Callithrix jacchus: one gene and its partners. The protein of the gene in region 2 purifies or fractionates together with the protein of the main gene of each other region. This does not show direct contact. Links are inferred from orthologs where the notes say so. Each region holds a gene or a part of one and is shown on either strand. Other genes may lie near its edges.

Region 1 (3,642 bases), on a different chromosome or scaffold from region 2:
TTGCATTTTATACGAACCTGTCTAGGCAGCCTGGGATTACTGCAATTTCAGAAAACCTCTGTTTTGCCTTAGTTTTCCAATCTGTTGGCAGACCCTGCTTTAGTGTGACTTACAACTTTCCAAGTTGACCATGTGCCTCTTTTCCATTCCATACGTGTGTGTCTTTAACACACACCCAGCCTCCCAGTGAGAAAACCGTACTAGCCAGGGCACTGTCAAAACCAAGTGGGTGCCACATGACTCCAGGTGTACACCGTGGCCGGGCATGCATGTGGACACGCCCGTGTGATGTGCTCATGTGCAGATTCCGGCACACTGGCCCACTGGCAGCTCCCCCGCCCGCACCCCAGCAATGGTTTCCGTCACGCTGATGCCTCTGCCTGAACATGAAGAGATCAGGCAGCATGCAGCCCTTGAAACCAGCTCTTCACTCGCCATCACGCTACCGAGATCCCCCCGCCTGTTGCTGAGGATGCCAAGGGAGGTGGCCAGCGTTTGCCTGGCCACTGACCTGCCAAAGGGCAGCCGGGGCGTGTCCTGGTTTGGGGCATGTCCTGGTTTGGGCCGTGATGATTACAGTTGCCAGGGAGCATGACGCGCGGTTCTGCCCGCGGACGTGCGTTCCAAGCCTCTGCGACTAAGGAGTGTGGCCACTGGGCTGCATTACAGGCGCACATCTAACTGCATGAGAAACCAGGAAGCGTTTTGCAGAGCGACCGCCGGCCGCAGCAGACGCGCGCCCATCTTTAGCACCATGTTTCCTTTGGAAATGCTTCTGCTGTCATCCCTTCCAGCCCCTCCCCTCTATTGTTCCAAAGTGTCTGTGAGGGTGGCTCCTCATCTCACCCTCCTGGCTGCTAAACCTGCCCCTCTGTTCTCCCATTCGGCTTCGGCGTGTCTCAGATCCACACCTCACCTCCTCTGAGGCACCATGCCCCGTTTTAGGGGCAGCAGCTCCTCGTCGGTGTCTGGCCCGGCCTCCTCCTGAGGGCTGTGCTGGGGTCACCATGCCGTGGTCAGCTCGGGGAGCTCTGGTGGACCCGCACTGCCTTTTCTGGCTTTTGGGCTTTATGCCTCATCTGCCATCTCCTGACTGCCTGGTTATCTCTACTGCATTTGACGGACCCTGGGCCAGACGATGATCTGTAGAAATGAACCGAGGCCCAGGCTGATGCTACGTTCCTCTGAAGGGGCTGTCCCATTTCTTCCTGCCAGGCACCTGGGGCCAGGCAGTGTGGGATCCCCTGAAATCCAGGCTCAAGTCTCCCCCGATGTTGGCAGGCTGGATGCCCACTGTACGGCATGTCAGAGTCCAGGGCACCCTCACTCCAGGTGTCACCTTACAGGCCATGGCTGTCCCAGCAGGCCCCACACCCTGCAGACCATGGCTGCTGCCAATGCCAAATGCAACCCCTCAGCCACTTCTTCGAGAACAGCCAACACCCCAGGCCAGAACGGGCAGGGCCCACCCGTTCCTACAGATTCTGGGCTTGTCTGGATTGTAGCCTGGGCAGCTGTAGCTCTGTCCTGTTAGCTCCTGAGGACCCAGCTTCTTCGTCTGTCTTCAGGGAAAAGCTGCTCTGAATCACTAACCTCTGGCTACAAGCAGAGCCAGACCGACCTGTTTCTCATCACGGAGGAGCCTGTGGATCTCCTGAGCAAACACGACTCAGGAAAGCTGCCCGAAGGCTGCCCACTGCTGGACCACAGCCAAGTCGTGGGCAATGCCAAGACCACCCATGCGCATGCAAAGACCGCTGTGCGCCCGGAGCCAGGGGAAGCAATTCACTCTGGCCCTGCAACAAAAGCAGCGTCCTGAGGACCTGCTCTCTGGGAGAAAACTGGAAATGAATCCAGAAGCTACAGGCGAAACCCCATGTCCATCTCCTAATGGGGCAGGGTGAAAGGGACAGAGGCTGCACCTGTCCCAGTGGCATCCAGACCTGCTGCGGCCCATGCTCCCATCCCTCCCAACTCCCCTCCGGCATGTGGCTCTGGCAGCCCCAGGACAGTACGTGGTGGTACCTTCTCATGGATCTCCTGCGTGGACTGTGCGTCGCAGAAGGCCACGGTGGCCACGTCCTTCAGGATAGGCATCTCCACCGTGCAGTCCCGGCCATCCAGCAGTGCCACCAGGGGCCGCGGGTGCAGGGGCCCGTTCATGATTGGAGGTCGGACGCCTGCAAGACAGAAGCAAGTGCTCAGCCTTGCACCACCGCAGCCCGTAGCCACAACCTGCTCCACACTGCCCACTGTGCACCGGCCGATGAGGGCTTTCCATTCTACATGTTGTGATATTTGTAAAAAGTGAATTAAAAATCCATAGGAAAGACAGATTTGTGTGCCTCAGCTCGCTGACACGAGTGGACACAGACTACAGACACCCACCACCATTGCCCTCAGGCACAGGGGCTCCCAGACCCCCTGAGACCCTCCCAGACCTGTCTGAGATTCCCCAAGACTCCCCCATACCCTCCGAGATCCCGAGACCCCAGGGCAGCTCCATGAGGCGGAGGGACAGGAGGGACCCGTGACACTGGAGGGCACAGATCGCAGCACAGGGCTTTAGGAACATGGCTGCCCTTTTCCGCCTGGGCTACCGTGTGGCTGCTGGAATCCCCGATGGGTCACCAATATTTCACACAGAACGCCCCACCCTCTGCCTGGCATCACTTCCATTTGTAAATTTGAAGGGACAAGAAACAGAGCTATAGAGGAAAGTCCACTGTTAAAGTCCACTGTGCCCCTACCTTCCCAGAATGAGCTGATTAAAAACCACTAACACCCATTATTCCTTTCACGTATGACACAGCTAAGCTTCGTTCGGGGCCACATGGAGAAAGAGGGGCTCTGAGGTGTCACAGAAGCACAGCAGCTTCCAGGCACCACCCGGCCACCCTGTGCCAGGCAGGGAGCACCGGGTGCTGGGAAAAGGCAGAGCTGGAGCCAGGGTCTGGCCGGTCCACCCCCCAGACTGGCCCCAGGAGACCAAGGAGCCCCCAGGACCATTTGGCCAGCAGGAGGGGAGACACAGGACAGAACCAAGAAACGGAGTGACCCAGTAAAGTCCTCAGTGGCTGCAGCCACATGCACGCTCAGCCGTCTCCCACCCCATCTACCAGCAGGTAAGCAGAGGCCACCAAGCCGCCAGGGCCCAGAATGCACTGCAAACACGGCTCTTGGAGCCCACGGCAGAGAAAAGAGACACCCTGGTGGACAGCCCAAGGGTGCAATGGGCCTGCAGCAGGTGCCTGCAGGGGACAGGGCACAGGTCTCCACTGACCACCCCAAAGCCGAGGGCTCCCGGTACGGCTGGGCCCAGGCTCCTCCTTCTAAGTCCTCACGCCCCAGTGACCTCAGAGGAGCCACTGGCCATTCCACCCACTTGCCTTCAAGACAGGAAAGGTGCCAGGACCTGCCCAGACCCCAAACACGGGGTGTGCACGATCAAAACCACATCCTGGTTTGCCTGTTCCCTCATTCCATCTGGACAGGAGCTGCCCATGACCCCCCTCCTGCAGCTCCCCAGTGACACTCCACACGTCCCCCTCCTGCAGCCCCCAGCGACACTCCACATGTCCCCCTCCTGCAGCCCCCCAGTGACACTCCACACGTCCCCTTCCTGCAGCCCCCCCAATGACA
Region 2 (3,642 bases):
TGGTCAAACTTCAATTCCCATGTAGGGAAAAACATTCCTTCACCCCCTCAGCAGGACTCCACCCCAAAAGACACCACTCAGACACGAGCCTGGCAGCTTTCTGAGCCTGCCACCCCCATAGCCCTCAGTGGCACTAATCCTTCTCCCATCGGGACCCCCATTCAGATGGGTAAACACTCCACCCTCCTGGCCACCCCTCCTCTAACTTCCACTTCTGGAGGGGACACCTGCTGCCTCTCCCCGCTCGCGTCTCTTCACCCAGGCTGTGCTGGCTTCTGCTCCCACCTTGACCTCTGAACTCGGGACATCAGGAACCCTCTGCCTCTGCTTAGACGTCCTTCCCTGAACCACATCCCTACTACCCAGGGCCACCCTCCACTCCCATCTCTTCAGTGGCCCCCATCCCAGGCTCCTCTGAGCACCAGCACCCACCAGAGACTTCCAAGCCTGTGTCTCCCCAACCTCCCCGCCCACACCCATGCTCGCTGCACCCAGTGCAGCCGCACCCTCCCTGTTCACACCCCTCACATTCAGCAAGCACAAGGCAGAGCTCACCAGACACACACAACATGAGCAGCACCGCCACCCGGGCAGGCCAGGCTGCCCACCGCCGCTACCATCCAGGCAGCCAAAAAGGGACTCTGTGGCCATGTCCTCAGCTCACGACCTGACTTGGGTGCCGTCGCCTACTGTGCCTCCCCTGTCTGCCACACCCAGCTCACCTCCGACGCCTTCCCAATGCTGCCATGACAGCACTGGAGTCACAGACACCTGCACTGTTTTTGCAGAGCCGGACCAGCGGCACTTACCGCCTGAGCCCACGCACACGAGGCCGCCCTCACCTTGTCATACCAGCAGCGCATGCTGAGCTGGCCGCACATGCAGTTGCTGGAGGAGCAGTCATCGATGCATACGCAGTACTGAGAAGAGAGGCACCCGGTGTTGTCAGATGGGCAGGCACCCGTCTTCCGCTTCCCTCCCGGTCACAGCTGTGGGCAGGACCCGCCTTCCGCTTCCCTCCCGGTCACACATGTGGGCAGGCACCCACCTTCTGCTTCCCTCCCGGTCACAACTACATTTTACAATTCTCAAAGCTACTCCTGAATCTGCTAAGTGCTTCTCAAAGATACCACGTGAGTGTGTGGCCTCTTAAAGAGAAGGGCAGAGAGAATGTTCGAGTTGCTAAGAAACATGACACATGCCCGTGGGAGGGGGCTCTGGCTGAGGATCCCAACAGAGGAATGGGGGCAGGCAGGGCAGCGACATAGCAGCGGGTGACACAGGGTGGATGAAGGGCTGGGTGTCGGCTGCATCTGTGGCCAGATGCTCGACGGGAAAGGCAAGAACGCAGAGTCCTACACACCCTGAGCAGAGGGCCCTGGGCAGTGCCCGGCCTGGGAAGAGGGGGGGAGCTGCCTACAAGCAGAGCCACAAAGGAAGTGCCCAAGAAGGCACAGGCAGTAAGGGCACGAGGCTCCATGTGCTCAGAGGCTGGGGAAGCTAGCATGTGCTGGGCCCATCCCTCAAGCGAACAGGAGGTGCAGGGACGCAAGTGGTCCTGCAGCCTCGCAAGGGCTCCCTTCGCACAGGGCATGAGGCTGCACCAGGGCCCCTGAGTGTGAGGTTACAAAAACATCACAGATGCTTGCCACTGCTTTGGGGTTGATGAGAACCCTTGGAAGAGCAATGTGCCCAACAGAACCTTCATCTGCTTTCCAGCTCTCTCATGGGAGGCAACTACAGAGAGAGTGAGGTCTTCCTGGGAAGCCTCCCAGGAGCCCTCCTGCTCTGAGTGATGAGAAGAACCCAGAACCCCAGGCTCAGGAAGTCTCTGCTTGTCCCGTGTCCTGGCCTGAGTAGCCCTGGGTCCACGTCACTCACCTGCAGATGGGTGATGTTTCTGTCGATGTTCATGGGGGATGTCACGCAGTTCTGAGAGACGTACTTATAGTTGCTGGGGCATGGCTCGCCATCCACGGCGTTGACGCAGGGGATGGGGATGCGCTCGTAGCCTCGAGCAATGTCCCTGCCATGGAAGGGCTGGTGTCACCTGGAGGCTGACTCGCTCTGCCCAGGGCATGGTGCCATGTGCAGTGGGGCGGCTGGCAAACACCTGGCCCTGGCGATCTAGACTCCAGCCTGGGGAAAAGCTATCCCTGCAGCTCCCAAAGCCCTGCTGACCGCTGATTGGCCACAGCACCATCCCGGCCGGGGCTCACCTGCTCACGGTCCTCTCCACAGGGACGGGCCTGTCGGGGGCCGAGTCCTGCAGAGCCTTGCTCATCTGCAGAGCGCTCCACACCTGGGAGTTGAGGCTCGCACACTGCAGGGGCGTCTCCCCTTCCTTGTTTTTTAAGGTGACATCTGAATCCCGAGAAAGAAAGAGGCTAAAAGGGAAAATGTAAGCCCACAAAACATTTAAAGCTGATTTTATTTAAAGATCACAAAGATGAGATTTATGAAATGACTATCATCACTAAAAACAGAGGGAGCACACTGTTCATTGGGAAACAAACTACCAAGTCTGCTGACTGACGATTCTAAAAAGATGGGCTTGACCTCCCTTAGGAACATCACTCCCTTACTCCTCTCCCATGTTCACTGTCAAAGTCAGCAGGCTGTTTTTTTTCAGCAGAAGAGTGTGTAAAAACCAAGGTGGCATTTGATTTTTCTTGGATTTTTCATTCAAATTTACCCTCAAGGACAAGAAGGGAAGCATCAAGGGAGAAAGGCCACTCACGGGCCACGCACAGCGTCAGCAGTTCTCAGTTCCATTCCTGCCCACTGCATCAAGACCGCAGTCACTGTGCGTGGGCAGGAATGATCAAATGACCAACCTGGCTGAGCCATCATGATGTCCAAATGTGAGAGGGCACAGCCCCACTTGTCGGGGCCAGTCACTGGAGGCTGGCGCGTGGAGCACCCACAGCTCCGGGTTCTTCCCCAGCAGCCAAACAAAGACTCCATCCCAGGCCAATGACTACAACCCAAGTGCGGGTGATTTGCGGGATCGAGGTCTCAAGGTTTTTTGGTTTTTTGTTTTTTTTTTTGAGATAGACTCTCACTCTGTCAACCAGGCTGGAGTGTACTATCGCAATATCCATTCACTGCAATCTCCGCCTCCCGGGTTCAAGCAATTCTCCTGTATCAGCTTCTGGAGTAGCTGGGATTACAGGCATGAGCCACCACACCTGGCTAATGTTCGTATTTTTAGTAGAGACGGGGTTTCACCATGTTGGCCAGGCTGGTCTCAAACTCCTTACCTCAAGTGATCTGCCCACCTTGGCCTCCCAAAGTGCTGGGATTACAGGCATGAGCCACTGCCACCCAGCTGAAGGTCTCAAGTTTTAAAAGGACCCTGAGCAGTAAGCGCCAGAGCCCCAAGCATCTCCAGCCCTGGCTGGGGGCAGTGCTACTCCCAGAAGGCACCCTGAGCCTCTCAGGGCCTCTGAGCTGGCAGGTCCCTGCCGGGAGCAGGGCTGTTCCCATGCTACTCACCCATATCAGGAGTGTCAGGTTTGAGACTCAAGATCTGGTCTAAGAACGTGGGAATTTTTCATGACAATCCTCCCTAACCCAGAAATAAACAACGGCTGATCTCAAACATGGACTGGCAAAGACATTTCTCTGAGCATAGAACAG
Region 3 (4,239 bases), on a different chromosome or scaffold from region 2:
TGGGGGACTCTAGGGAATCAGGGAAGGCCTCAAAGGGGAATTAATCTTTTTTCTTTTTTTTTTTTTGAGACAAAGTGTCACTCTGCCACCCAGGCTGGAGGGCAATGGCATGATCTCGGTTCACTGCAACCTCCACCTCCCGGGTTCAAGCAATTCTCTGCCTCAGCCAACCAAGTAGCTGGGATTACAGGCACCCACCACCATGCCCAGCTAATTTTTGTATTTTTAGTAGAGACAGGATTTCACCATCTTGGTCAGGCTGAACTCCTGGTCTGGTGATCCACCAACGTTGTCCTCCCAAAGTGCTGGGATTACAGGCGTGAGCCACTGCACCCAGCCAGGGGAATTAATCTTAACACTGAGTAGGTTTTTTTTTTTAGATGGAGTTTTGTTTGTTGCCCAGGCTGGAGTGCAATGGTGCGATCTCAGCTCACTGCCACCTCCGCCTCCTGGGTTCAAGCAATTCTCCTGCCTCAGCCTCCCAAGTAGCTGGGATTACAGGTGGCACCACCATGCCCAGCTAATTTTTGTACTTTTAGTGGAGACGGGGTTTCACCATGTTGGCGAGGCTGGTCTTGAACGCCTGACCTCAGGTGATCCACACACCTCGGCCTCCCAAAATGTTGGGATTATAGGCTTGAGCCCCCGCACTCCGCCTTAAGAGGAGTTTTGCAGAGATTTGAGGAGGCGGAGATTGAGGACTACAGAAACGGTTGGAAATTTGAGGAGGCGGAGATATAATAAAGTTCTGGTTAAGAACATAAGATTAAAAAATTCAAGGATGTGAATTACCTAACTGTCCAGAAGTGGTTGATTTTTTGGGCCAAGCATCAAAGGGCTCATTTATAAAAATCACATGTCCTGGTCGGGTGCAGTGGCTCATGCCTGTAATCCCAGCACTTTGGAAGGCCGAGGCGGGCGGCTCACGAGGTCAAGAGATCGAGACCATCCTGGCCAACATGGTGAAACCCCGTCTCCACTAAAAAATACAAAAATTAGCTAGGTGTGGTGGCGCGCGCCTGTAGTCCCAGCTACTCGGGAAGCTGAGGCAGGAGAATTGCTTGAACCTGGGAGGCGGAGGTTGCAGTGAGCCAAGATCGCGCCGCTGCACTCCAGCCTGGGGACAGAGCGAGACTCCGTCTCAAAAAAAAAAAAATTATGTTCTAATTTTCTAGGTTACAACGCTCAACGCTGCAGTCGCTCCGCCGTTACAGTTTAAAACCTCGAAGTCCCTACCACCCTCGCCTACTGTGCGTGCGCAGCGCGCGGCACTTCGGGCCCTGTAGTCTTGGACTGATCCCGCGGACCAGGGTGCCATGCGGCGGGTCGCCGCGCCTGCGCGGTGCGGGCGGCGGGCAGAGCAGAGTGCGAGGCTCTTTTGTTCGGTTGAGGGGAGGGCCCTTGGCCTGGGCCTGCGGTACGCCGCTCCAGTGAGGTGCTCCATTGCGGCCACCGGGCTTGCTGCCTTCCTGGGCGCCACTCCCCCGGCCGACCCGACACGACGCGCCAGCAGCGCAGCACCGATTCCTCTCCGGCTGTTAGGCGCTGCTCTGAGGTGAGGAGCCCGCTGGAGGCGGGAGAGCTGGGGGAGGGGGCACGGTGGCGGCGGCGGCGGGAGCCCTGCGTGGGGGCCCGCGCTTTCGAGGCAGAGGTTGGGGGCGGGGAGCGGGGAGCGCGCCCGGGTCCAGCGTCCTGTTTTTCCACTTCCCGCGCTGAGCTCTCCGCCTGGCGCTGAGGCGTCGTTGCCAGCTGCGAGAAGGATGGGGAGGGCGGGGCGCGAATCCTGAGCCAGAGACTGAAGCTCTTCAGGGTGGGCCGAGCAGTTGGGGACCGCTTTTCCGGGCCCGCGTAGTCCGGGACAATGCTGCTTGGGTTGGGTGGGCGTCTGGGGATAGGGCTGGAGAGAAAACACCTTACAAGATTGGGAAGGGGACAGGCTTGAGGCTTGGATAGGTGTGGGGAGGAGCTGACGACCGCGAGACCCGAGGTTTGTAACTGTAATCGGAGGACGCCGGGTCCCGCCGGGGCTGCCAGAGAAACCTGGCTTTGCAGGACTACGGAAGAGTAACTTGGAGTTAATTGGAAAGAGGGCCCTGGGCCGCACAAAGTGTGCCGATTGGTGGAGGAGATGGAATAAATTGGGAAGGGGGGCACGGAGGGGGAGGGGCAAGCGTTTGCTGGGCCTGGCTCTGGAGGGGGAGGAGCTGTTAGGATATGTAGGGCGGAGATCCGGAGAATATTTCTGTAAGGTGTGTAAGGGAAAAGGGGAAAGCAGGCCGCCCTTGCTTCCTGATGGGTCCTTTCAGTGGGGAGGCTGTAAAATAATACGTGAAGAAAGGATTGAATACGCTTTCTTCACTTTTCCAGGTTTCCTACTGCCTTTGCTCCATGATTCCTTTGGGGAGTTAAGTCCAAGTGCAGCTCTTGCTTTGATTCAAAGTTAGTTCCATAAGTTTTTGTCTGGGATCGTTACTGGTCTCACAAAGGTGATAAAATTGTAAAATGCGTAGGTGAGTTAACAGTTAAGGAATGGAGTGAGGTAGTGATGACATCGTGTAAGGTAGGAGAAATTGGGAGACAGGAAGAGCAAGTATGTGAGATTGTGAGATAATACTTGTTTAGTGGGCCCTTCTGTTTTTTAGCCAGGTTTTCCTTTTTGGAAACTTTGAATACAGAGTGAGCAGTATTTTACCTCTTTTCCAACTATTTAGATGAGGGTTTTTCGTGAATTGATGTTACATTTAGACTTGTGTTGGTTTAAGTCAGTTGAGGTGGAATTTACAAAAAGATAGCTATAATCTGTTATACTAGAACCTCTAGCCTAGGGTAAAGTAGCCTTCTCAGTTGTGTTAAGAATCACACCAGCAGTTTGGAAAAATTGTGAAAGGTCCAAGGCTTTGGAATAGATTCAGGAATACAATGGGGAAATTAATGCCGGTGTTCCTCCTTAGGTGCCTTACAGACTTTTATAGGAAAGTGGTGAGATTGAAAATCCCTTGTATTGAAACCAGTTGCACCTTAATGAAGCTTCAGGGCAGCGGAGGACCTGAAGTCATTTACGATTTTCCCTGTGGTAATATTTTTCTTCAATGGCTGCTGTTATTCTAAATTATTTTTCACTAAAAATGTAAATAATGGGGCCGGGGATGGTGGCTCACGCCTGTCATCCCAGTACTTTGAGAGGCTGAGGTGGGCAGATCACCTGATGTCAGGAGTTTGAGACCACCCTGGCCAACATGGTGAAACCCCGTGTCGACTAACAATACCAAAATTAGCCAGGTGTAGTGTGCACACACCTGTAGTCTCAGTTCTTCGGGTGGCGGAGGCAGGAAAATAGCTCGAACCTGAGGCAGAGGTTACAGTGAGATGAGATGGCACCACTGCACTCCAGCCTGGCAACAGAGGGAGACTGTCTCAAAAAAAAAAAAAAGAAATAGTTTTGAATGTAAATAGAAGCCTAGTGCTTATAGCTTCCATATTAAAGGAGACCAAGTAAGGTACCCTAGTCTTCTGCATTTTATAAACCATATCTCCAAAGAAAAGAAGCAATCACTCTTGTGCCCATTTTAAGGACTAGGAAAATGTTTCTTTTTGTTGTTCACACCATTTGAAAAGAATTCCTTAAATTTTGGCATACTCTAGTGGTTTATCTAGCAAAACCTCCCTTTTTAAAAAATATCCTGGCTGGGCACGGTGGCTCAAGCCTGTAATCCCAGCACTTTGGGAGGCTGAGGCGGGTGGATCACGAGGTCAAGAGATCGAGATCATCCTGGTCAACATGGTGAAACCCCGTCTCTACTAAAAATACAAAAAATTAGCTGGGCATGGTGACGCGTCCCTGTAATCCCAGCTACTCAGGAGGCTGAGGCAGGAGAATTGCCTGAACCCAGGAGGCAGAGGTTGCGGTGAGCCGAGATCGCGCCATTGCACTCCAGTCTGGGTAACAAGAGCGAAACTCCGTCTCAAAACAAACAAACAAAAAAATATCCTATCTGCGGTGGTATAAGAGATTTTCCATTAGATTTGGTAGATTTTCACTTCATAGGTTCTTTCCATAAAGAGTTTTTGGAGTAGAAGGCTAATTGCTAGTTTATGGACTCCCATAAAATGGGCCATACCTCTTGTTCATCAGTGCCTGCCACATAGTAGGCTGTTCAGATTGTTGATGCATGGGGGGGCGTTGAGATCCATTCTCAGAACTCTGTGTTAGCCAAATTAATGTGCATTTACATATTTAGT

The links.
Region 1: the proteins of EHMT1 (region 2) and CTBP1 purify together in Homo sapiens (affinity purification with mass spectrometry; 3 studies listed by BioGRID and IntAct, counting the BioPlex papers as one, with this or other methods). This does not show direct contact. The link is inferred for Callithrix jacchus from reciprocal best matches to the Homo sapiens genes EHMT1 and CTBP1.
Region 3: the proteins of EHMT1 (region 2) and CBX1 purify together in Homo sapiens (affinity purification with mass spectrometry; 3 studies listed by BioGRID and IntAct, with this or other methods). This does not show direct contact. The link is inferred for Callithrix jacchus from reciprocal best matches to the Homo sapiens genes EHMT1 and CBX1.

What each region holds. Positions count from the first base shown.
Region 1 is NC_133504.1:191,934,971-191,938,612, reverse strand, and holds part of CTBP1 (C-terminal-binding protein 1), read right to left. Parts: intron 2,181-3,642; coding exon 2,026-2,180; intron 1-2,025. UniProt on the Homo sapiens protein: Corepressor targeting diverse transcription regulators such as GLIS2 or BCL6. Has dehydrogenase activity. Involved in controlling the equilibrium between tubular and stacked structures in the Golgi complex.
Region 2 is NC_133502.1:186,169,869-186,173,510, reverse strand, and holds part of EHMT1 (histone-lysine N-methyltransferase EHMT1), read right to left. Parts: intron 2,388-3,642; coding exon 2,220-2,387; intron 2,027-2,219; coding exon 1,882-2,026; intron 921-1,881; coding exon 843-920; intron 1-842. UniProt on the Homo sapiens protein: Histone methyltransferase that specifically mono- and dimethylates 'Lys-9' of histone H3 (H3K9me1 and H3K9me2, respectively) in euchromatin.
Region 3 is NC_133506.1:118,186,820-118,191,058, forward strand, and holds the start of CBX1 (chromobox protein homolog 1), read left to right. Parts: upstream 1-1,344; 5' UTR 1,345-1,555; intron 1,556-4,239. UniProt on the Homo sapiens protein: Component of heterochromatin. Recognizes and binds histone H3 tails methylated at 'Lys-9', leading to epigenetic repression. Interaction with lamin B receptor (LBR) can contribute to the association of the heterochromatin with the inner nuclear membrane.